2 linked regions of the Danio rerio genome follow. The protein of the gene in region 1 interacts with the protein of each later gene in a pairwise test. Links are inferred from orthologs where the notes say so. Each region holds a gene or a part of one and is shown in the gene's direction. Other genes may lie near its edges. The genes, in order: efhc2 and edc3.

Region 1 (11,675 bases):
CCTGGGCATATATAAACATTCCTGCCTTTCACCTTAACAAGGGAAAAGTAGTGCTTATATTTCCAGTTGGCAAACGCTATCTTTGAACTTGTTGGACTTGCCATTGTTCTGACTCTGGACATTGATGTGTGTTTTACTGACTGTTTGTGTGAGAAAGTGGTAGAAATTGTATTAAAGAGATGTTTTTAAATGCCAAGTGTAGATGACAACATGTCTCCCATTTCACAGAGGACTTCCCATCTATCTCATACAAGGCCTCACCTCCACCTAAACCAGCTAAGCAGGTGCCACCCTACACTGGATTTGGATCTGAGGAGGATTCACTGTGTTCTTGCCAGGGTTTGCTGCCTAAACCCCCACAGAAGGATTTCAAGAAGCTTATGGAGAAAGACAGGTAGCCAGCACTATTAATCTCCCACAGGATGCTTCCCGCTCATTTCAAACCATTAATATTATATCAAAACAACATGTCAGACCCATACTGGCTTTCTGATCATTCTGACAGAAGAGTTTAGACCCTTGTCAATCCCACTAAAATCATCTTTTAGTTAAGTGCAGCTCTTTGCACTTGGAAGTGGATGAACACATGCCCTTTATAAATAATCAAAGGCTTAAATGCAATCTCATGATACTTCTGATGTAAAACACGCTTTTGCAAGTCGGTTTATTATTATACATAGTTTTCACAGAGCTTTGCTTCCAAATATAATCCCAGAACCAGTATCACACGGCAAATTATTCACTCGCTCAATTTGCTTTGGACAATACTGCGTTAGACATTGGCAGGCATAGGGGTTGAAGGGAACAAGAAGGCTCTGCTAAATAAAGGATTGTTTTAAAGATGGTAAACTCAAAGCAGATAAGTGACCGGAGTAAAGCCACAGTGAATAAGCAAGGAAACTTCCTGAATGGTCCTCTCGGCCTAGTGAACTAAATATTTAAAGAACAGTCACTGTAAGATGGAAAGAGGACATGTCTTTCTGAAAGAGAACTTTCTAGTAAAGTAGAGGTCTGTTAATATAGTAAGCATATAAGAATACTTGGCACAAAAATGTTGCATGCAAGTAATTTCAAAACAGATGGTGATAGGCTGTGAGTGATACAAACAGCTTAAAGGGATTCACCCAAAAAAGGGAGGTCACCAAAAAATGAAAATGATCCCATGATTTACTCACCCCAATGGGCATTATAGGTGTATATTAGGGCTGTGCAATATGGCAAAAGAAACATATTAAGATTTTCAATATCAACAATATTGTGATTTCGATTTTATGACAGACTTAATCTGTGTTTAGTGTGAATCTGAAACATTTCAAAAGAAGAACGTTTTGATCTTTATCAAAGACCTGTAACATGTCTCTAAAACAGGCATAAATAAAGCAAAAATGACCTAGTAAGGCTGAAGAAAAGTGTCTCAAGAACAGACCTATGGCAAAACGTGTATGTGAGAGTGCGCATCATCAAACTCAAGTAATGCCGTGTTCAGACTGCATCATTTTAGCGACAAATGCCTCAAATTACAGTCAAATAAGTGCTTGTTCATGCAAGTAACAGTCACACAGTGTGAACTATCAAAGATGCAATCTGAGAGAATTGCCGATGAGTTGCAGACACCCTTGAGATAGTTGGAATGCTAAATATCTGCAGCTGTCTGCGATTCAAATCCTGCCGTGTGAAGTGTGTTCTGATCAAAAATAACATCGCCGATTACCTACTGCCAATGTAAGAGCAGCATCCACTTGTATGGGTATCTGCCGGCCAGTGGGAGGTTGAGAAGGAAATTAAAAGCGCTCATTTTCAGTTTATTTGGATCCAAGAAAGGAGGAAAACCTAGTGTAAAGTTTGCAGGAGCACATATCACAACCAGAAAAAAGTTGAGGAGAAATTGCTAATTCCCTTCAAAAGCCATGTGAGCAAAATAAGTACATTTCAGCAATGACAGAATTGCTAACCTAGGTAGTCATGCAATGTGAAAATCATGTAGTCTGAACTTGGCATAAGGCACCGATGTTCTGCCTGACCAGATTTTAGAAGTAGTTGTGCGTGTATTCACAGATTTGTTTTGTCATGCATAGATCATTGACCTCTTTGTGATGCTGCCATGAAATAGGCCGTTCACATTTTGCGTCTTTTGATTGCACAAGTACACTATTTCCCATGGAGGTGTGTGGATTGTGTGCACACGCTTTTCGACTTACAAATTACCTGGTTCTGCCATACATCAGCCTTCCTGTATCCAAAGTAACTTAATCCAAAACTACAGATGTTGACTTTTTTTGACACCAAGTCGCCCTGTGCTGAAATTATAATCCCTGTCTACCAGGGGTGTACAAACTCAGTCCTGGAGGGTCAGTGTCCTGCTGAGTTTAGCTCTAACTTGCTTCAACACACCTGGCAGGAAGTTTTTAGTATTCCTAGTAAGAGCTTGATTAGCTGGCTAAGGTGTGTTTGATTAGGGTTGGAGCTAAACTCTCCAAGACACCGACCCTCCAGGACTGAGTTTGGACATCCCTGCTGTATACACAGGCTATTCAGTCTGGTGTTTACACGCGTTATGACTGGGTCAAATTCCATACTGCAGGAAGATTGAGCTGTAAGGCGATTTAGAAATCACGCATGTCCAAATCTCGATTTCGATATGATTTTAATTAATCGCACAGCCCTAGTTTATATGATTGACTTCTTTTAGACAAATCCAATCTGAGTTATTTAAAAAAAACTATACTGGACTTTTCCAGGACTACAATGGCCATATTTGGCTGATTATTATCAGTAGTCTACTAAAGTGCATCTATCCATAATAAAATAAAGTCCCACACGGTGTTCTGGGAGGTGAATAAAGGTCTCCTTTACTGAATCCACTAATTTTTGTGAGAAAAATATCCATACTTTAAAAACCATTTTGTGTAACTTCCAGCCAGCATCCTCTATCATCTTCTTCATTTTTGAGGTGCATGTTTTGGTGCATTAGCACCATCAGATGGACAGGACTGTGTTTTGTCTGTCTTTCCTCCCTGTTTCTGCTTTTATTTCAACTTCACACTCAAGAGACAGAAAAACGCAGTCCTGTCCAGCTGATGGCACTAAAATGTTTGTTATAACAGCACAAACCAGCACAAATCAGGCACAAACGAATGACACTAGTTTGGTGTGATTTCGAGAAAATGGGGTGGAGAGTGATGCCACGGCTCCCGAAATATTGTTTATATCTAAACGAGACAAACAGATATAGTGTTTGTTTTAACGGCACAAATCCAGCACAAACAACCTGTGCTGATTTGAAGTGATTTGAGCAAGATGGGGTGGAAAGTGACATTGAACGGTCAAAAGAAATAATGATTAATATCTCAGACCCCAAACCAACACAAACATTAATTCTTGCACAAATATAGCACAAACGAATGGCATAGTTTTGGGGATTATTTGTTTTTATGGGGTGCCAACTTCATGGAGGTCAATTTGATTTGATAAAAAAACGAAATTATATGCACGAATAAATATTTTTCATTTTTGGGTGAACTTACCCTTTATTGAATGTCTAAATCTCCTAATGTTCACATTATTAGATAATAAAATAAGAACATTTGAATGAGATCTGCTAATCAGCTCAAACAAACTGTGCAATAGGCGAAATATTCTCCAACATGGCCCTGAAAAAAATCCAATAAACGTAATGAATCATTTAATTTCATTATGTTTACTCGTAATGATCTTATGCCAGTTATTGTTCTCAATGTAAGGCAAGGTCTGGTGAGCAACGTGCTGAGATTTGTGGGGAAAATGCTGACAGACAGTCCTGTCGACAAGGAACGTGTTTTTATCATATGCTTCTACCTTACTGATGACACAATAGCTGTCTTTGAACCTCCACAGAGAAACTCAGGTATTGTCAGCCTATTCATATAAATTCAGTTTAGGAAAATAAACATTTCAATTTTACTGTATGTTTTTATATTGCTCTTGTGATGAAGGTGTGATCGGGGGTAAGTTCTTAGAGAGGGGGCGAGTGAAGAAGCCAGGACAGGAGCTGTTTAAAAGTGAGATGTCGGAGTATTTCACTGCTCAGGATTTGTATGTTGGAGCTCATCTGCTTCTGAACAGTCAACCTTTCCAGCTGGTGGATGCTGACGATTTTACATTCAGCTATATGGAGCAGCATGCAGATGAGGTAACACACAAAAACCATCTCGTTGCTTCAATTTTCAGCCTGTTTTAATTAATGTTGCTGAGCAAAATATCAAGATATATGTCTCTATATAGAATCTCCATTAAAAGTCCTTCACCTATTTTTCTCAATTATTTAGTTCCCCAAGGCCAACATTGGCACCATCATTAGCAAGGTAAAATCCATCAGTGAGGAACAGCAGAAGAAAGTAAAACAGTTTTTCACCATGAGTGACCCAAGCAGCACTGGCTCTCTTCCATATGAGTCATTCAGGTAAGGAGCTGGCCAAAAATACACAAATAAAAGACACATTACATCTTGTTCCCGCCTGCCATATATTATATAGATATACCGAGTGAGATTCTGGATCAGTTTCACTGATTGTGAGATTTAATTATGGGCAATGTTATTTGCAGAAGTTTTCTTTAAAGGGGTTGGTGCAACAGACCTGCAGGGAAAAAATGTTGAGATTACATTTGAGTTAAGCCGCAAACATTTAGATGACCAGCAGGTTTTGTGCATTTGTGATCCACATACAGTACCCGCTGTCAGATTTAAAGCACTAAAACCAGCAAACAGTGTAAAACGGGTTGACATGATTGATGTATAGAGGACAGGGATATTAACACTCAGAAAATAGAGATAGAAATTAAGAGCAATAAAATGTGACAAGTTCAGTTGGTCTAACATGTTTTATAAGCTTTTCTCAAGCTATGAACTGATAAAAACACAATGAGCAATTGAATGCTAATTGCACTGACCAAACAGAACCAAATTACTAATGTAAACACTTTCATTACTACATTACATCATTACTACATAAGCTTTAAGTACAAAGCTGGTAAAATGAAATGCAGAAAAAGCCTTGTTTTTGTGATCTAGGTGGGTGTTAATGGGATGTGACATCACGTGAAAACTCTGAACAGAACTGACAGGAAAAATCAAGGACAAGTCATGCCAGGTTAAGCATGGATTATGTTTAGAAATAAGTGAACTCTATAGTTAATACATTACTACTGGGTATTTTAAGTTACAAAACAACAAGTTGCTTTAATTAAATTACTTAAAAATTAACTCGTCACTGAAAAACTACAGTAACGAATTAGGTGATTTAATTAGTTACTTGCAGTATTCATTCATTAATTAATTTTCTGTTCGGCTTAGTCCCTTTATTAATCAGGGGTCGCCTCAGCGGACTGAACCACCAATTTATCCAGCATGTGTTTTACGCAGCTGATGCCCTTCCAGCTGCAACCCATCACCGGAAAACTTATATAGTTTAGTAAATACTGAAAATACAGTTGAAGTCAGAATTATTAGCAATAATTCAGTTTTTGGTGTACTATCCCTTTAATCACTGTCATGTAATGTTTCAAAGACACATGCATATACAGTTGAAGTCAGAATTATTAAACCCCCTGAATTATTAGCCCCCCTGTTTATTTTTTCCCCAATTTCTGTTCAATAGAGGGATGATTTTTTAACACATTTCTTAACATAATAGTTTTAGTAACTGATCTCTAATTACTGATTTATTTTATCTTTGTCATGATGACATTAAATATTTTACTAGATATCTTTCAAGACACTTCCATACAGCTTAAAGTGACATTTAAAAGCTTAACTAAGTTAATTAGATAAACTAGGCAGGTTACAGTAATTAGGCAAGTTATTGTATAATGCAGAGGTGTCAAATCCAGTTCTTGGAAGGCCGCAGCCATGCATAATTTAATTCCAACTTTGCTTCAACACACTTACCTGTATAGGTTTTAATCAAGCCTAAAGGACTCAGTTAGTTTGATCAGGTGTTTGATTAAGGATTGGCACTAAAATGTGCAAAGCTGCGGCCCTCTAGGAACTGGATTTGATGTGGTATAATGGTTTGTTCTGTAGACTATAGAAAAATATATAGCTTAAAGGGGCTAGTAATTTTGACCCTAAAATGGTTCATAACAAATTTAAACTGCTTTTATTCGAGCAGAAAAAATATTATCAGGCCTACTGTGAAAATTTACTTGCTGTGTTAAACATAATTTGGGAAATATTTTAAAAGAAACAAAATTCAAAATGGGGCTAATAATTCTGACTTTAACTGTACATTCAGGAGTTCTGTAAGTCAGTTCAGAAAAGCAGATTATTTGTATTTTGCTATATTAATAGATTTTGCATATTAATTATATTTTAAACTAAAGGTTATGCTTATTAATACAGCTGCATTCTTAAAAAACACTGATTTGAGTCAGAAAACAGTTCAGGAAAATATATAAATTCAGAAAAGCAGAATAATACATATTCCAATTTTTTTATTTATTTTTTTATTTTTACAAATTTCAATTTTCAAATTTTCCCTATTTAGGTATTTTGTAAAAAATAATTATTTTTCAGCTATAGAAAGCTACATTTGTCAGACAATTACACATGCTGAAGAAACAATTAAAATGTTAATAAAATATATTGCGTGTACTCTATGAAAGCAGATGTCTGAAACAATTCGAAATACTTTTGTAATTCTGATTACTAAAGAATGTGATGCTTTTTATTAAAATGCTTAAGCCTTTCATGTTTTTATTAAGCGAAAAGAATGAAGTTATTTTTATTCTATATGAATTGAGTTTTTTTTATTCAGTCATTTAATTCTTTATTTAGTAATTAAATTACTTATCAGACATAGTAATTAGAAATGTTATTCAAATACAATTTAAATAATGTAATAGCTGCCAATTATTTACTTTTTTAATTTAACAAACATATCACTGTTTTGTCACAGAAAAAGCTGTGGGTTACCTCTTCAGTTTGAGACAGTGATTGAGTAAATGTCTGTGTGGTTTCCAGGACTCTGTTGGCAGATTTGGACGTGGAGTTGTCCGAACATGAGATCATGACACTGGGTCGTGTTTATTCGGTGCGGCAGCAGCCAGAGGTGAACGTGGGTCTCATGCTTGCTGTGGCTCAGGATCATCTGAAGAAGAAAAACTTTGAGAAGTTCTCAGAAATGATCCAAGCTTTCACACATGAGGACCGGGACAGGTATAGTTTGATCATTGAAAATAATACATACATTTTTTAGCTTATTAATACAATTTCAATCAAAGATACATTCTAATTAATTTTAAATAAGCAAAGTGTGGGGCAAAGATTAATTACAATTAATTGCATCCAAAAGAAAAGTTAGTTTTGACATAATTTATGCATAAATTAAATATGTGTATTATGTATATGTGATATGTATATGTGTATATGTGATATACACATAAATAAATAAAATCCTAACTATACTAAACATATTTATATATTTATAATATAATGTGTATTATATACATGCATTATTCATATCTAAATATAAATAAACATTTTCGCAAACATATGCCTGTATGTGTGTATTTATATATACATAATAAATATACATAGTACACACTTATACAGCTGAAGTCAGAATTATTAGCCCCCCTTTGAATTTCTTTTTGAAATATTTCCCAATATATGTTTAAAAGAGCAAGGAAATTTTCAGAGTATGTCTGATAATATTTTTTTTCTTCTGGAAATTCTTATTTATATAATATCGGCTAGAATAAAAGCAATAAAAAAAAACATTTTACGGTTAAAATTATTAGCCCCTTTAAGCTATATTTTTTTTCGATAGTCTACAGAACAAACCATTGTTATACAATAACTTGCCTAATTACCATAACCTGCCTATTTTACCCAATTAAGCCTTTAAATGTCACTTTAAGCTGTATAGTAGTGTCTTGAAAATTTTCTAGTCACATATTATGTTCTGTCATTATGGCAAAGATAAAATAAATCTGTTATTAGAAATGAGTTATTAAAACTATTATGTTTGGAAATGTATTAAAAAAATCTTCTCTCCGTTAAACAGAAATTGGGAAAAAAATAAACAGGGACTAATAATTCAGGGGGGCTAATAATTCTTCAACTGCATATGAAATGAAAACAAACTTATTTTTATTTGTGATTAAACCAGTTCTTAGCATTTTATAAAATTAAAATGTATCTTTTATCACATTTGTATCAATGAGCTAAGAAAATATGTATTATTTTTATATTGTCTAATTTTTTTGGAAGTCACTGCATTTAAATATTTAATCTAATGAAATGAAATACTATCTGTGTTCCATTCTATACTTCATCTTCAATATGACCGCATGCATAAAATCATGTATAAAATCAACACTGACATAAACATGCCATCATGCAAAACCACGAAAGCATGTCACACGTTCTTCAGGGACACAAACTCACAGTTCTTCAGAGTTACACAGTCACCCTTAACAATCACGCAGAGGCAGAATAAGCATCAATCTGCTTTAGATTGAGGGGGTGCGATTAGTTCCAGCGGCTCAACTGAAGCATTGGAAACAGATGAAGACCTGTGGCTTGTTGCAGGCAGGGGAAATGGATGAGGAAGAAAGCCGACAGGTCAACGTGCTTGTCCTGTTTATGTGGCCCTGTGGAAAGTCGACTTATTTTACGATGTTCAATATGTCCGGAAAATAACCAAGCTGGAATGTGTGCAGGTCCAAACTGCGTTGGAAGACTGTAAACTGCGTGACTATTTGTGAATCAGAAATGTATTTATATGGTTTATGATGTGGAGAAGTTTGGGGTCAGTAATACATTTATTTACTTTATGAAGACAGTAAAGATTGAAATAGTTAATAATGGTTAATTGTTTTAAATAGCTTTTTGCTTTTTAACCTTTAATTCATTTAATTATCTTATACAAAAAATGATAATGTGAAACTGAATACTGACTGCTCAGATTCAGTTTTGCTGTTATATTTAATTGATTAACTGAATTAATGTGCTGTTAAATGTTTCGATTATCGTTTGAATTTGAATTAGTTTTTTATCTTGAGTTTTTAAGTTAAAGTTCAAGTCATTTTGTTTTTATTATTTTTTATTTTAATATTTTTTGGTTTAATTATTTTATTTTTAAATGTAATTTTGTAAATGTAAAGCTGGTTGTACTCATTCCAGTTTTACTCATCTTTTTATTTGTTTTTGTATTAATATTTCTTTACTGATTTATTATTTTCTTTTTTGTTATAGTTTTAAGAGAAACAAAAAATTAAATATATTCTAGTTTATTTAATTAAAAGTAAACAAAAATGATCTTCGAAATAGTTTTTTTGTGCTTTATTTTTTTAGTTTAAGTTAGTCATTTTATTAGTTTCTATGAGCTTTAAATATTTTTAGTTTTATTTTTAATTAACAAATGAATTATGAAATATAATTATTAGTTTAATTTAGCTTTAATGCAAGATAAAATAAAATGGGAAACATTCAACATTAGAGTAAAATGTTTCTAATAAATTACAATACATGTTTGTTTTAATGGAAAGTTTGTCATTTTCTTTGTATAGACCATTTTGAGGGATGTAAACAAAAACAATGGTCCCAACGTTTCTATATTTTCCTAAAATCCAAAATGAGCCACATATTTATGAATAATGTTATGATAGCTGTTTTATAGGTCAGTTGGCATTTCTGTGTGGAGTTTGTATGTTCGCCGTGTTCGCGTGGGTTTCCTCCGGGTGCTCCGGTTTTCCCCACAGTCCAAAGACATGCACTATAGGTGAATTGTGTAAGCTGAATTGTCTGAAGTGTATGTGTGTGAATGAGAGTGTATGGATGTTTCCCAGTGATGGGTTGCAGCTGGAAAGGAATCCGCTGCGTAAAACATATGCTGGATAATTTGGCAGGTCATTCTGCTGTGGTGACCCTGGAATAATTAAGGGACTAACCTGAAAAGAAAATGAATAAATGAAAAGCTGTTTTAAAATTGAGTTATGATTGAATTGCTTGCTGTTACAGTTATGAACTAGTTTGATAACAAACAGGAAATGTTCATGGGCCAATGACATGATTACATTGAAATGGTCTATAATAACATTATGTAACAGAGGCCAACTAGCGACCTCACTCCTCTGACCTCACTCACCTCCTCTGACACCAATTCGATGCCTGTTCAGACTGGGTTTGGTCCAGTAGGACCTATGAGTTACACATGGGGGCTCGTCCGAAATGGGATTGAGGTTTAGTGGTGTGAGTGTAACGGAGACCCGCTAGCGAAGTGCTATGCAGGTAAACCTCACTCCTCTGACCTCTGAAGGTTCTCTAGTGACAGACACTAGAGGCCATGCTCTTTAGCCTCCTTGTTAGAGCAACCAACTCCCATGCAAAGAATTGCTGGTTTAATCCCAGCTCAGACTGGGTTGGGTGCAGTAGGATTGGTAGGTTACACATGGGGGCTCATCTGGGATATGAATGAGGTTTAGGGGAGTGAGTGTAACGGAGGCCAGCTAGCGATGTGCTATGCAGGTAAACCTCACTCCTCTAATCTAGTGACAAAGGCTATAGGCTATGGTCTTTAGCATCCTTGTTAGAGCAACACACTCCTATGCAAAGAATCGCTGGTTCGATCCCAGCTTGGACCGGGTTGGGTGCAGTAGGACCGGTGGGTTACACGTGGGGGCTCCTCGTGTTGGTACTCCGGTTTTCACCACAGTCCAGAGACATGTGCTGTAACTAAATTTATTACACTAAATTGGTCGTAGTGTATTAGTGTGTTTGAATAAGTATGAAAGGGTTGTGGCTGGAATAGTTAGTGGTTCATTCAGCTGTGGCGACCTCTAAAATAGTTACTTAAGCCGAAGTAAAATTAATGAAGCCAAATCTGGGGCTAATCTAACAAAATATCTTACATTAGAGGTACAAAAATGACTAAACCCAAATTTATATGTTAAAGAAAAATATTAAATACAAATTTTAAAGATCAAGAGAAATATAAAATATATATAAAAACATTTTTCATTTTATTTAAAGTAAAACAAAAGTGATTTTATCTTTAGTTACTATAATAACCCTGACTCATTTCTCTTTTTGTCCACTCATTTGTCTTTGTAGATGTGGCCAGCTCTCGTCTAAAGAGGCCCGGATCATCTGTAAGGCTTTTCGACTGCCCCTGTCTGATGACCTGCTAAGAGCCCTTCTGGAGAAGTAGGGTCAACAGAGCACAACCCTCATTCATTATCCGTGAATCATTTCACCACAACGCCTCTAAATCTCCTGCGTCTCTCATGTTCACATCCAGGTTTGCAGGCGAGTCAGAGAAGATTGACTATCACGCTTTTCTATCCGGAATCAACTGGAGAGAAAACCCCGTCCCCGCTGTGCTTCCAGAGGACACTGTAAAGGTGAGATTGAATGAAGAATGTTATTAAAGTAGTTCATTTGGTCTAAATATGCATTCATGCATTAGGTCGATGCTTTTATCTAAGGTGACTTGCGTTGCTATAAAGGTACATGTTTCATTAGTGCTTGCATTCACTGGAAATTGAACCCAAAAGCTTCACATGCTCTGTTTGAGCTCTAGGAAACCTAAATGCTATATTTTTAAATATGCAAAAAAGGCAAAACATTTATTTTGTAAAATATATTTAGCAGATATATTTACACAAATATATTTTTTTAATATACATTTTTGGCG
Region 2 (11,675 bases), on another chromosome or scaffold:
TGAGAACTGGATCTTAGTTGACTTACCTGGTTAAAAAAAAGGTTATTAGTTACCAGACACACCCCTTACTGCTGATTGGCTACAAGTGTGTTTTGGGCGTTGGTCCGACACTGTTGTCAAAAGCATGTTTCAAATATTTCTTGATGCAATTGAGTGAGTTGCATTATATACTACAGTACATGAAATGTTACTCGGCTTAAAACAGGATAATTAATCTATGTGTACCATGAAGTCGCTTACTATATATTTCCTTCTTCCTCCACAGTGCCATGGACATAAAAGATCTCAAAATTTTAGAGATCTCCAAAAATTCTATTGAAGTTTCCAAGCAGAATGGTCCAGAGTCCAGCTCCACCACCTTGATGCCGCACGTTGGACGCAAGGACAAGGGTGGGGGTGGTGGTGGTGGCGCCTCGGTGAACAGTGCTCCTGTGATGGTACCTAATAAAGCTGAACCCAGACTGCAGGAAGGAGGAGTTTCGCCAGTGCCACATTATTCCAAGAGTTACGGTGAACGTCACATAGATATGGCTGTACAGGGTAAAGGCTTTAGACGAAGACACAACTCATGTGAGTCTTCTTAGTCGTATATCTATTTAGTTAAACTTCAGCCTTTATGTATATGATTCTATATAGTGAATATACAGTTAAAACCGTAACATTGTAAAAGATGATCATTTATTGTTAAGGGATATTATTAGACCTATTACAAATTGTAACTTAATTGAAAAAAAAAATCACGCACATCAATCTAAATGGGTGCTCAGCCAAACAAAAAGTGCTAAATGATTTCTGAAGGATCACTATCATTTTTATTTTTAATATGTTAAAAAAATGCATAAAGGCAGTGACACCAAAGCTCCAAAAATATAAATGTTTTGACTTAAAAAGGCTCTGACAAAGTGTGTGACGTTTCAAGCACATCAAAAACGTCACATGCTTTGTGAGAGCCTTTTTTAATTTAATAAAATGATATTTTTGGAGCTTTGGTGTTGCCTCCTTTAGGATTTTTTTACAAATTAAAAAATAAATTGATTGTGATCCTTTAGAAATCTTATTTAGTGCTTAAGAAACATTTGTTATTAAAGTGGCAATTGTTTTTGCTGCTGCTTTGTGGAAACTGTGATTCAGTTTCATTTAGTAGTTTGGGACAAGAAGGTTTTATATGGAGAAAAAAAAGAAGAAAAAACATTACTTTGTTTTAAGCAAGGATCCATAAAATATATCATAAGGGACAGTAAAGAATTGTAATGTAACAAAGGATTTACGTTTTTTTATATAAAATGTTCATTTGGATATGCAATTCAAAGAATCCTGAATTTTCCTTAGAATAGCAGTAAAAATAGTTTTCAGCATTGATTAAAAAGAAACATTAGTAATTGAAAACAAATAATAATTGATCTTATCTAAACAAAAAAATTAGAAGGATAATTTTAGGATAATATGACACTGAAAATTAGACTAGTGACTAGTAAACACATTTTTTTTAACATTTCCTTTTTAAATCACATTTTTACAATTTCTAATCAAATAAATGCAGTTTTAGAGCCATTAGAAATTCTTTTTCATTAGTCTTAAAGGGCACCTATGGTAAAAAAAATCTACTTTTCAAGCTGTTTGCACAGACATGTGTGTAAGTATAGTGTATAGACAGTCATATTGGGGTGATATAAACACACCCAGTGCTTTTTTTTTGTAATTTAACAACATAAAATTGGTGGACCAATTAGAGCGGTTTTCAGACGACCGCGACTTGATGTAGGAGTGTGGTCCTCCCGCCCACCAATATTGATTGACTGGCACGCGTCACCTAATCCTCCATTTGTAGTTTCACATCCGCCATTTTCAGCGCGAGTCAAAGCGATATCTTAAAGGAGCATCCTGGCTCTATTTTTAGATGCAAGGCTCATTGGGCTCAACACAATGTTCTCCACATTATCGCTCTAATTGGAATTATTGGTTGTACTTTTAGGTGGGTTTGCAGACGTGTACTTTTCATTATGTCTACCTTAAACTTCAGCCGTTTGCATTTCTCGCGTTCACAGAAGCTCCCTGTGATCTTAACTAGGTGCAGCTGGAAAAGTGCAAGCGCGTTGCCTCATGTGCGTGTCTCTCCATTGGAAATAAAATAACAAACTTGCCTGCAGGTCGCACATCAGAAGCTCCGCTCTTCGTGGTGCGACGTTGACACAGCGCCATGAATTTTGAAATTCTGGGCCTGGGTTTCTGTTGGGGTCACTGGTGTGCCGTGCGTGGCTTCGAGCTGCACATCCGGTGCCTCAGTCTAAGTTAATTCAGTATGCGTGGTTATTAGTCTAGGTGTACAAGCTCGGCACTTAAAACTAATTCACAGTTGGCTGTAAAACTATACAAAGACTCTTTACAAAGAGATTTTGTACTCTCTGCTTGGTCTGTGTCCGAGTCTTACATGTACAGCTGAATGCTGATCCTCTCATGTAGCTTACCTTCTCTGTCTGCCTGTCTGTTGCAAACACAGAGCTGGTGAGCTCTTGGCTCCGCCCCCTTGTTACATTGGGCGGGAAGCCGAAACTAATTTTCATGTGAAGCAACACGCCCCTAAAACAGCGAGCTGTGTACACGCCCCCAACATGACACTTTTTAACACATTATAATAAAGAAATCTGAACTGTGTGTTGAACTGAACCTAAACTGGCACACTCAGAAGAACCTTAATACTGATATTAAATCATAAAATGGGGTAAACTATGTGCCCTTTAACTGGTAATGTAAGTTATATTTTTTTCCTCTAACACATTTTTTCTCTATAAACTACAACTCAAATTCCAGAAAAGTTGAGACATTTTTAAAAATGCTATAAAATCAAGAATATGTGATTTGCTTATTATCTTTAACTGTTATTTAATTGACAAAATGTACTTAGAAAAGATTTCTAATAATTTCAGAGAGCAAATGAGTTATATTCTGGAAATATAAGCTAATTTTGATTTCAATGCCTGCAACACACTCCAAGTTTTACAAGCAAAAGGTTTTGCTAGGGCTGGGCGATTAATCAAAAAGTAATCGAAATCGACAATCAGAACCTACAATTTCCAGGTACATTTTTCAATTACTTTACCTACCACTTGTGGAGTCAAGTGACCTCGCTTTGTTAAGGCTATTTTCTACTTTTTTATATCATACTTCTGACATGCATACAGTCTGGTGCAGCCTTCGCATGCCCACCACCTTTCAAAAAATGTAGCTACACAATACAATGATATGTAGTGCAAGCTTTGTGATTGGTCGTTTTGGTAGTGGTGACAAGGGTGGATGGCACATTTTAGGCAATGTGTGTTTTATTATTAGTTGTTCAGTGTTGATGTTCAATAAATAATCATAGATATTAGATTATATATAGATAGTGTGTGTTTCGCTTCTCTGTGTTATAATTTTAAAATTAAGTAATCCACTCTACATTCAAAAATTTGTCAGTTGTAAGATGTGAGCATATTTACTGTGCAAAACCTGTCATTGAACTATGGGGTCAAAAAAACAAAATAAATATAGAAAATATTCGTAATCCAATTAAAAATGTTAAATTAATCAAGATTTTGATTTTAGGCAAAATTGCCCAGCCCTTATTTTTGCCCAATCTGCCATAATATAAAACTTGAGATGCTTAACAGTCAGTTGTTGTCATTATCTGTTTTTCCTTTTCATGATTACTTATTTTTGATCTGGACATCAGGGAGGCCAGCCAAACCACACTGTTTGTAGCACAGTGAACCAGGATGAGACTTGATCTAATAACCATACACTTACCATGAAAAACATTATCCTGATGATGGTATATGACTATGGTCATATATGGTATATGATATTCTACCAATATATGTCTCCATGTGAATGGTTCTTTTGCGCACATTTCTTTGCTGATTCCTGAACCATGAATTACTTTTACATTTGCAGACAAGTCCATATTTTAAGCTTGTTTCTGGAAAAAAACAGACGTTTGAGATTCCAGTCTCTAAGTTGAGATTGTATTTTTGATTATCTGAAATCCGCTCTGGTTTTCTATACTGCTTTCAGCATAAACAACAAGTCAAGTAGCATTTCTAGATGCAGCAGTTGCAGAGATGTTTCTGAAGTTCCACTAAGCTTTATTTAACAGCACAACATGACAGTTTTTTTTTATATGCAGTGCAATCTGAGGCTCTAAGCTTGAGCACATTCAGCTGTGGGTTCCTGCATTGCTCCACACTGATTGAGATTTATTTGTATTTACTCAATGTTTTCACAACATTAAATGTGGCAGTTGACTAAAATTGGCTGTGATTTTGCATTGATAAATGTGATTTTGGTTTTGTTTGGAAATTCTCACATGGCTTTTGGCACTAAGTGATGATCCATGATCCTGCTTTACTTGCAAATACTGAGATGCTTATTTTATACCCAACATGTAGCCTTAATGCAGTGCATCCGTAAAGTATTCATGTATGCACACTGCCAAAATATCAATGGATTGGCTTTACAACAACTCTGTGACTGTCCTTGAGTGACCCAGCCAGAGCCCAATCCTGTTGAACATCTCTGGAGAGATCTTAAAATGGCTGTACACCATCACTTTCTATCAAGCCTGATAGAGCTTGAGAGGTACTGCAAAGAGAAAAGGGCAAAAATTCCCAAAATACAGGTGTGCCAAGCTTGTGGCATCATATTCAAAAAGACTTGAGGCTGTACTTGCTGCCAAAGGTGCATCAACAAAGTATTGAGTGTGAATTGTTTTGAACTTGATTTTTCAGGTTTTTTATTTGTAATAAATTTGCAACAATTTCAAAAACTTTTTTTACATTGTCATTATGAGGTATTGTGTACAGAATGTTGAGAAAATAAATGAATTTAATTCATTTTGGAATTGAGCTATAGTATAAAAAAATGTGGAAAAAGTGAAGCGCTATGAATACTTTGCAGATGCAATGTATATCACCAATTGACCTGCTTATTATGGACTGCTTCAAAATGTTTCGTTTGGATATTCTGTGACCCTTTAACTTGTATTTTACCTCTTTCCCAATGTTTTTGGAGTGTGTAGCAGTAGCAGGCATTAAAACAAAAATCTGTTTCTTTAGACTTTTGTCACTTAAACAAAATGTAAAGATGATCAGCAAATCGCAAATTCTTGGTTTTATTGCATTTGTTTTCAGATTGTTATAAATGGCCGCTTTATTTTTGTTTCCAGGGTCGTCTAGTTGCAGAGGTCCAAATCAGGCCACACCGAAAAAGAACGGACTCAAGAATGGCGGTCACATGAAGAACAAAGACGATGAATGTTTTGGAGATGGTATGGACGATGTTCTCGATGAGGACTTTGACTTTGAAGGGAACCTGGCGCTGTTCGACAAGGCTGCGGTGTTCTCGCAAATCGAATCGTCAGAACGGCGAGGAAACGGTGCGAGATCTCGAGGGACACCTGGAGAGCAAACACCATCCAGATACCGGCACGATGAGAACATCCTTGAGGCCAAACCTGTCGTTTACAGACAGATCACAGTTCCACAGAATGGATCAAAAGAATATAGCACTGGTAAGAATCAGAGCTGCACTATAAGAAAAAAATGGCGTTGCAAAATTTAGTTTTTCTGCGATATGTAATATGAATACAATTGCACCAGATGGATTAAATGGCTCTAATTTCAAAGAAAGTGTCATTTAGGTTCATTAGGATGATTTTGTAGGGCAGTGTATCTGCATAAAATATAATAAACATAAAGCAAAGATAAATACAATGCACATTATGCAAATTAAATAATGAAAACCTTATGAAGTCTAAACACATTCAAATGTAGAAAATTAATAGTTTTAAGGAATATTTAGATTCATACCTTACCACAAGGTATCTTAATGGGTTTTGTGAATTAAGACAAAGTCCACTCAAGGAAGAAAATTAATAATAAAACTTAAAAATACATAATATGAATAAAAACAAATACAACAACAAAACAAAATCCTTTACTTAAAATCCGCTTTATCCGCTACTAAAATGTTAACAATACTTTTGAACAAATTGTCTCAAAACACACTTGCAGTCAATAAGCAGTAAGGTGTGTAGTTACTATAGTGGAGATATCAGAAAGGGCTTGAACTCCTGTTGGTTTGTGATCATGTTTGATTTAGTGCTTTCAATTAGTGACGTTTTTTTGGCAAAGTTGACTTTGCGCATTAGTTAAATAGCTATATTGGTATATTGTCTTCAAATATCAGAATTCATGCCATTTATTTCCTCCCTAGATTCAGGTCTTGTGGTACCCAGCATCTCCTTCGAGTTGCACAAGCGTTTGTTAGCTGCAGCAGAAAGTCACGGTCTCTCTCTGGAGCGCAGGCTTGAGATGACGGGTGTATGTGCGAGTCAGATGGCCCTCACGCTACTTGGAGGACCAAACAGGTTTGTGAGGCCTAAACAAAAAAGAATGTCATTTTGTGTCAAATAAACCAAATTACAGATGTCCTGAAGCATTCTTTGTTTGCACTGGTTTACATTTCCTGATAGTTGTAATTTAAAAGAAGGTAATTAACATGACAAAAACCATAAATTAGGATCTTAAGATTCCAGCTGTTTTATGACCTGTTTAAAATTTGTATTAGAAGTTGTAAGAATGAAACATAAAGAGAAATGTGAGCTCTGTCTGTTTAGAATAATATAACCGTATGGCTGTTATGAAAACAATTCTCTAAATAACATTCCTGTCACATGTCTCTGACTTTGAAATAGAAAAATCCCATCTTGAGAGTGCAAAAGCATTCACTGCATGATTAGGCATATTGTAATGTTAGAATAGCCCCATGATTCAATATTTGAAAGCAAAAAAAAATTTATTAAATACAAATAAGTTTATATTTTTAAGATGTGATATAGCTAAGTCACATCACATAAGCAAGAATGCTGAACATCTGTGCATTGCAATTTACAAATATAATATTGATATAATATTGATTGACATTCACATTCACCCATTTAGCAGACATTTTTGTCCAAAGCAACTTACTAGTGAGGCATTAAGCAGTTCAACATGAAGAGGCATAGGAAGTTGTTGTTTTTATGCAGAATATTGTTTTTATTTTCATTTTTAGTCAAGAACCAAAGCAGCCAATGTTGGGTAAGTTGTTGTAGATTCCAAATTGCTGATTACTACTGAAAAATTGTTATCTGATTACATTACTAATTACTTAATGTAAAAAGTAATCAGATTACTTTTTACTTTACTTCGTAGTTACTTTTAAAACACATTAAATATACCTTTCAAAATACAAAATAAACTGCAGCTCTTTTAGTAAAATAATATTCACTGAAAAACATTAAAATGGGTTGATCACTGCAGCTTGACATATTCAAAAACTTAAAGAGTTCGCCCAAAACTTTCAATTCTCTTATCATTCACTTGCTTCAAACCTCTGATAACATAAAAACCATTTAGATCAAAACTGAATACCTGTAACGATTGAAATCCATAATATGAAAAAGCACTGCAGTGTCTGGGTGTTCTGTGTTTGTCTGAGGTAATTAGTCTATCTATATGTGTATATTCCATACAAAGTATGAAGATGACCGGTCAGTTCTTGTCATAAGACTCTCAGTTTTATTGGGTGCGCAAGTTACATGCGAGTGCGTGCAAAAGCACTCCCAATATGCGCGCAATTTTTGCGACTCGATTGGAATTAACAAACTCGCACATCCAAAAGACGTGATATGTAAAGGGCAGCTTCACAGCTTTTCTCTTTACATTCAGAAGATACCTTCACTGCCGATCCTGTACAAAAATCCAAGTTTGCCTGTTTAGTTGAACCACCGTGTTTTTGGGTGCTGGTGTTCTGTTTGGTGACTAATATTGTCCTAGAATGCTTTCCATTCAAGTGCTTGAACAAGTTGCTGGTCTAGAAAAAAAGCAGTTGAAAGTTCTTTAGAGGCTGGACATAGACTTCATTTCATTGTTTTTTTTTTACACTCAATGAAACCAATATAATGTCTGTGTTTCCACTTGAGGAAGCAACCATCCTCCTCAACAGCTGTTTCAGCTTGCGTTCTAGAGCAGTTTAAAAGCGCATGCTTATTAACTGACGTTGCAGCAGAAAACGGGATTTAAAATAAGCATTTTTTTCTTCTAAAAACTGTATTTAAAACGCAATTACATCGACTTAAGTAACTGTAATTACACAGATTAAAAATGTAATGCGTTACATTACTGCATTCCCAAAAAACGTAGTTAGAATACAGTAACGTGTTACTGTTTATTGAGATACACCCAACTTTACAAGCAGCTAAGGAAGCCCTGCAGTTGGAGATAACAAAATGTAAAATTCCTGTTAAACCTGCATTGAATCTGAATATTAGTGAGAAATGGCAAATGGAATGGGATGATAGTAGAATTAAAAATTTATACAAAGTTAATCTATTTGTAAATGAACAAAATAATTACCATTTTGAAAATAGACATGATCAGGTTGTGTGTGTGTGTATATATATGTGTGTATATATATATGTGTGTGTGTGTGTGTATATATATATATATATATATATATATATATATATATATATATATATATATATATGTGTGTGTGTATATATATATATATATATATATATATGTGTGTGTGTATATATATATATATATATATATATATATATATATATATATATATATATATATATATATATATATATATATATATGTGTGTGTGTGTATATATATATATATATATATATATATATATATATATATATATATATATATATATATATATATGTGTATATATATATATATATATATATATATATATGTGTATATATATATATATGTGTATATATATATATATGTGTGTATATATATATATATATATATATATATATATATATATATATATATATATATATATATATATATATATATATAGTTGTACATATGTAGAACTGGTCATTCAAGACTTACACTTATATTTATTGAAGGAGAAAAAAAACTGTGTAAGAAGGTTTTGCCAATGCTGCTGATATGGCATTAAACATAAATAAATAAATGTAGTCAATAACCTGTGTTTAAGATGACACAGATTGACCCATATGTATGCTCTGGTTTTCATCAGTCTGGTTCTTCTCTTAGACTTACCCCAAAGAATGTGCATCAACGACCCACGGTAGCCCTGCTGTGTGGCCCTCATGTCCAGGGAGCTCAGGGAATCAGCTGTGGACGTCACTTGGCCAACCATGAAGTAGAGGTCGTCCTTTTCCTGCCAAATTTTGTCAAGATGTTGGAGGCCATCACCAGTGAACTAGCACTATTCGGAAAGACGGGAGGCAGACTGGTTTCTAATGTGAAAGGTGTGCCACTTATGCAACTGCATTTATTAACTACATTATTTGAAAAGTACTGATATATAAAATAAGTTTTAGATGTTTAATTATGGTTAAATGTCAGAAACATTTTAGAAAATTTATCGTGATGTACAAAACATTAGGGTTAGTGAGGCTGCATTTACACTATTGTATTTTTATTTTAAAACCGCTTTAAACTCTTTATCCATATTGTCTTTTTTACTATGTTTTAGTATCCCTCCACACTTTACAGCATACAGTACATGATTTGTGACCATTCACACTCACTGAGCATGCAAATAGTTCACCGACATCCTTGCTTGTTTTGTATTGGTCATATGAGAGGAGCGTGATGAATCAGAGAACGATACACAAGGCAAGAGAACCAGTCAGGGAGTGATTGTGGATAGCTGCGCCTCTGTATTCAAAAGTTTGCATTTCAGTCCATCTAGTGTAGACGCTTGATGTAACTATAACAAAGCCGATACATTTTAAACCAAAATGCACCAGTGTAAAAGGCACCTACGTATCCTATAATGACAGAGTAATATAGTCATGGCACAACAGTATATTTCATATTACTAAGGATTGTAATTGGCTTTTTTTCCCCATTTTATATTTTTTAAAAATTATGCATTTCTAATGCCTTTCACATTACCAAGAGCAGCTATTAGATTGTTATGTAAACATGTGATGCATATTTTGTTTTTCTTAAGAGAATAAAGACAAATGATGGGAGGTACACTACCAGTCAAAAGTTTGGGGGCATTTTTGTTTTTAATTATTTCATGTTTTTTTTTTTTTTTTTTTTTTTTTATAAAATAATTCTGTTCACCAAGGCAGCATTTATTACGTATAAAAACAATTGTCAAATTGTAAAATGTTTGTAAAAAAATTTAAAAACTGCTTTCTTGTATGTAGTTTTAAATGAAATTAATACTCCAGTCATTATTGCTTTTATTACTATTAACATTAATAATAATAATAATAATGGTAATAATGGTAATAATGCTAATTAATATAACAGTGATTTCTGAAGGATCGTGTGACTCTGAACAATAGAGTAATGAAGGTGAACATTCATCTTTAAAATCACTGGAATAAATTTATTCATTTTCTTTTCGGCTTAGTCCCTTTATTTATCCAGGATCGCCACATCGGAATGAACCGCCAACTTATCCAGCACATGTTTTACGCAGTGGATGCCCTTAAAGCTGCAACCCATCTCTGAGAAACATCCATACACTCGCATTCACACTCATACATTACAGGCAATTTAGCCTACCTAATTCACCTGTATCTTTGACATGTCTTTGAACTGTGGGGGAAACCGGAGCACCATAAGGAACAGTTTTTTTATTATTTTACAATTTGTACTATATTTTTGATTAAATAAATTGATGAAATGCAGCTTTGGTGAGCAGGAGAAGCTTATTTCAAACATTTAAAAATCATACTGAACCCAAACTTTTGACCACTATTGTAAGAAAACAAGTTATCTATGTAAGGTTGAAGTCAGAAGTATTAGCCCCCCCCCTGTTTATTTTTTCCCCAATTTCTGTTTAACAGAGAGCAGGTATTTTCAACACATTTCTAAACATAATAGTTTTAATAACTCATTTCTAATAGCTGATTTCTTTTATCTTTGCCTTGATGACTGTAAATAATATTTGACTAGATATTTTTAAGACACTTCTATACAGCAAAAAATAAAAAATAAATTAAAAGGGTGGGCTAATAATTCTTCAACTCTTTGTGTTTGCACAAGCTTTGGCACTGCTGTCAACTAAAGTCACATTACATTTATTTATAAATGTAGCACTTTATATAGTATTTTAAAGATTAAATTCAAAGAAATTACAATTAGAATTAATTTCAGTTCTTACTATTAACCAGCAGTTTGTTACATTACACAGCACACCCTGCTGTTACGTAATCACCATGAACCACTAGAAATTTTGCGTTACGTTTTTTTTTAAACGCTGTTTCGATCCCCTAAATAAACTAAAAAAAAACTCTGGAATTTTTAAACTAAATGATATGACCACTTATAGTTAGATGGGACATGGGACCAAAAATTTTGTCATTTGAACCATGCAGTGTAAATGCATGTTTCCATCAAGACACTTCTTAATTTAAAAAGACCGTTATCATGGGTTTGTATCTCGCATGTGTTCCTAACACACCCACCTAAAGGCTTTGTTTAGGTGGGCTAGGAAGTCTTGGAAACTTCCACTCTGATTTGCAAAAACGTATATACTTTGAACTCAGCCACCCACCTTACATAAATATCTTCCATTTTTGGGTTAACTTTAAACAGAGAAACACACTGGTAGATTAAGTCATCACTTAC

The links.
Region 2: the proteins of efhc2 (region 1) and edc3 interact in binary tests that used the Homo sapiens proteins (3 or more experiments, as listed by UniProt). The link is inferred for Danio rerio from reciprocal best matches to the Homo sapiens genes EFHC2 and EDC3.

The regions. Positions count from the first base shown.
Region 1 is NC_133184.1:35,454,107-35,465,781, reverse strand, and holds part of efhc2 (EF-hand domain-containing family member C2), read left to right. Parts: intron 1-228; coding exon 229-394; intron 395-3,740; coding exon 3,741-3,883; intron 3,884-3,971; coding exon 3,972-4,168; intron 4,169-4,304; coding exon 4,305-4,438; intron 4,439-6,997; coding exon 6,998-7,192; intron 7,193-11,092; coding exon 11,093-11,185; intron 11,186-11,279; coding exon 11,280-11,382; intron 11,383-11,675. UniProt on the Homo sapiens protein: Microtubule inner protein (MIP) part of the dynein-decorated doublet microtubules (DMTs) in cilia axoneme, which is required for motile cilia beating.
Region 2 is NC_133200.1:21,934,991-21,946,665, reverse strand, and holds part of edc3 (enhancer of mRNA-decapping protein 3), read left to right. Parts: intron 1-265; coding exon 266-540; coding exon of another isoform or gene 541-570; intron 571-5,200; coding exon 5,201-5,545; intron 5,546-6,249; coding exon 6,250-6,403; exon of another isoform or gene 6,404-8,495; intron 8,496-8,907; exon of another isoform or gene 8,908-9,077; intron 9,078-9,110; coding exon 9,111-9,328; intron 9,329-11,675. UniProt on the Homo sapiens protein: Binds single-stranded RNA. Involved in the process of mRNA degradation and in the positive regulation of mRNA decapping. May play a role in spermiogenesis and oogenesis.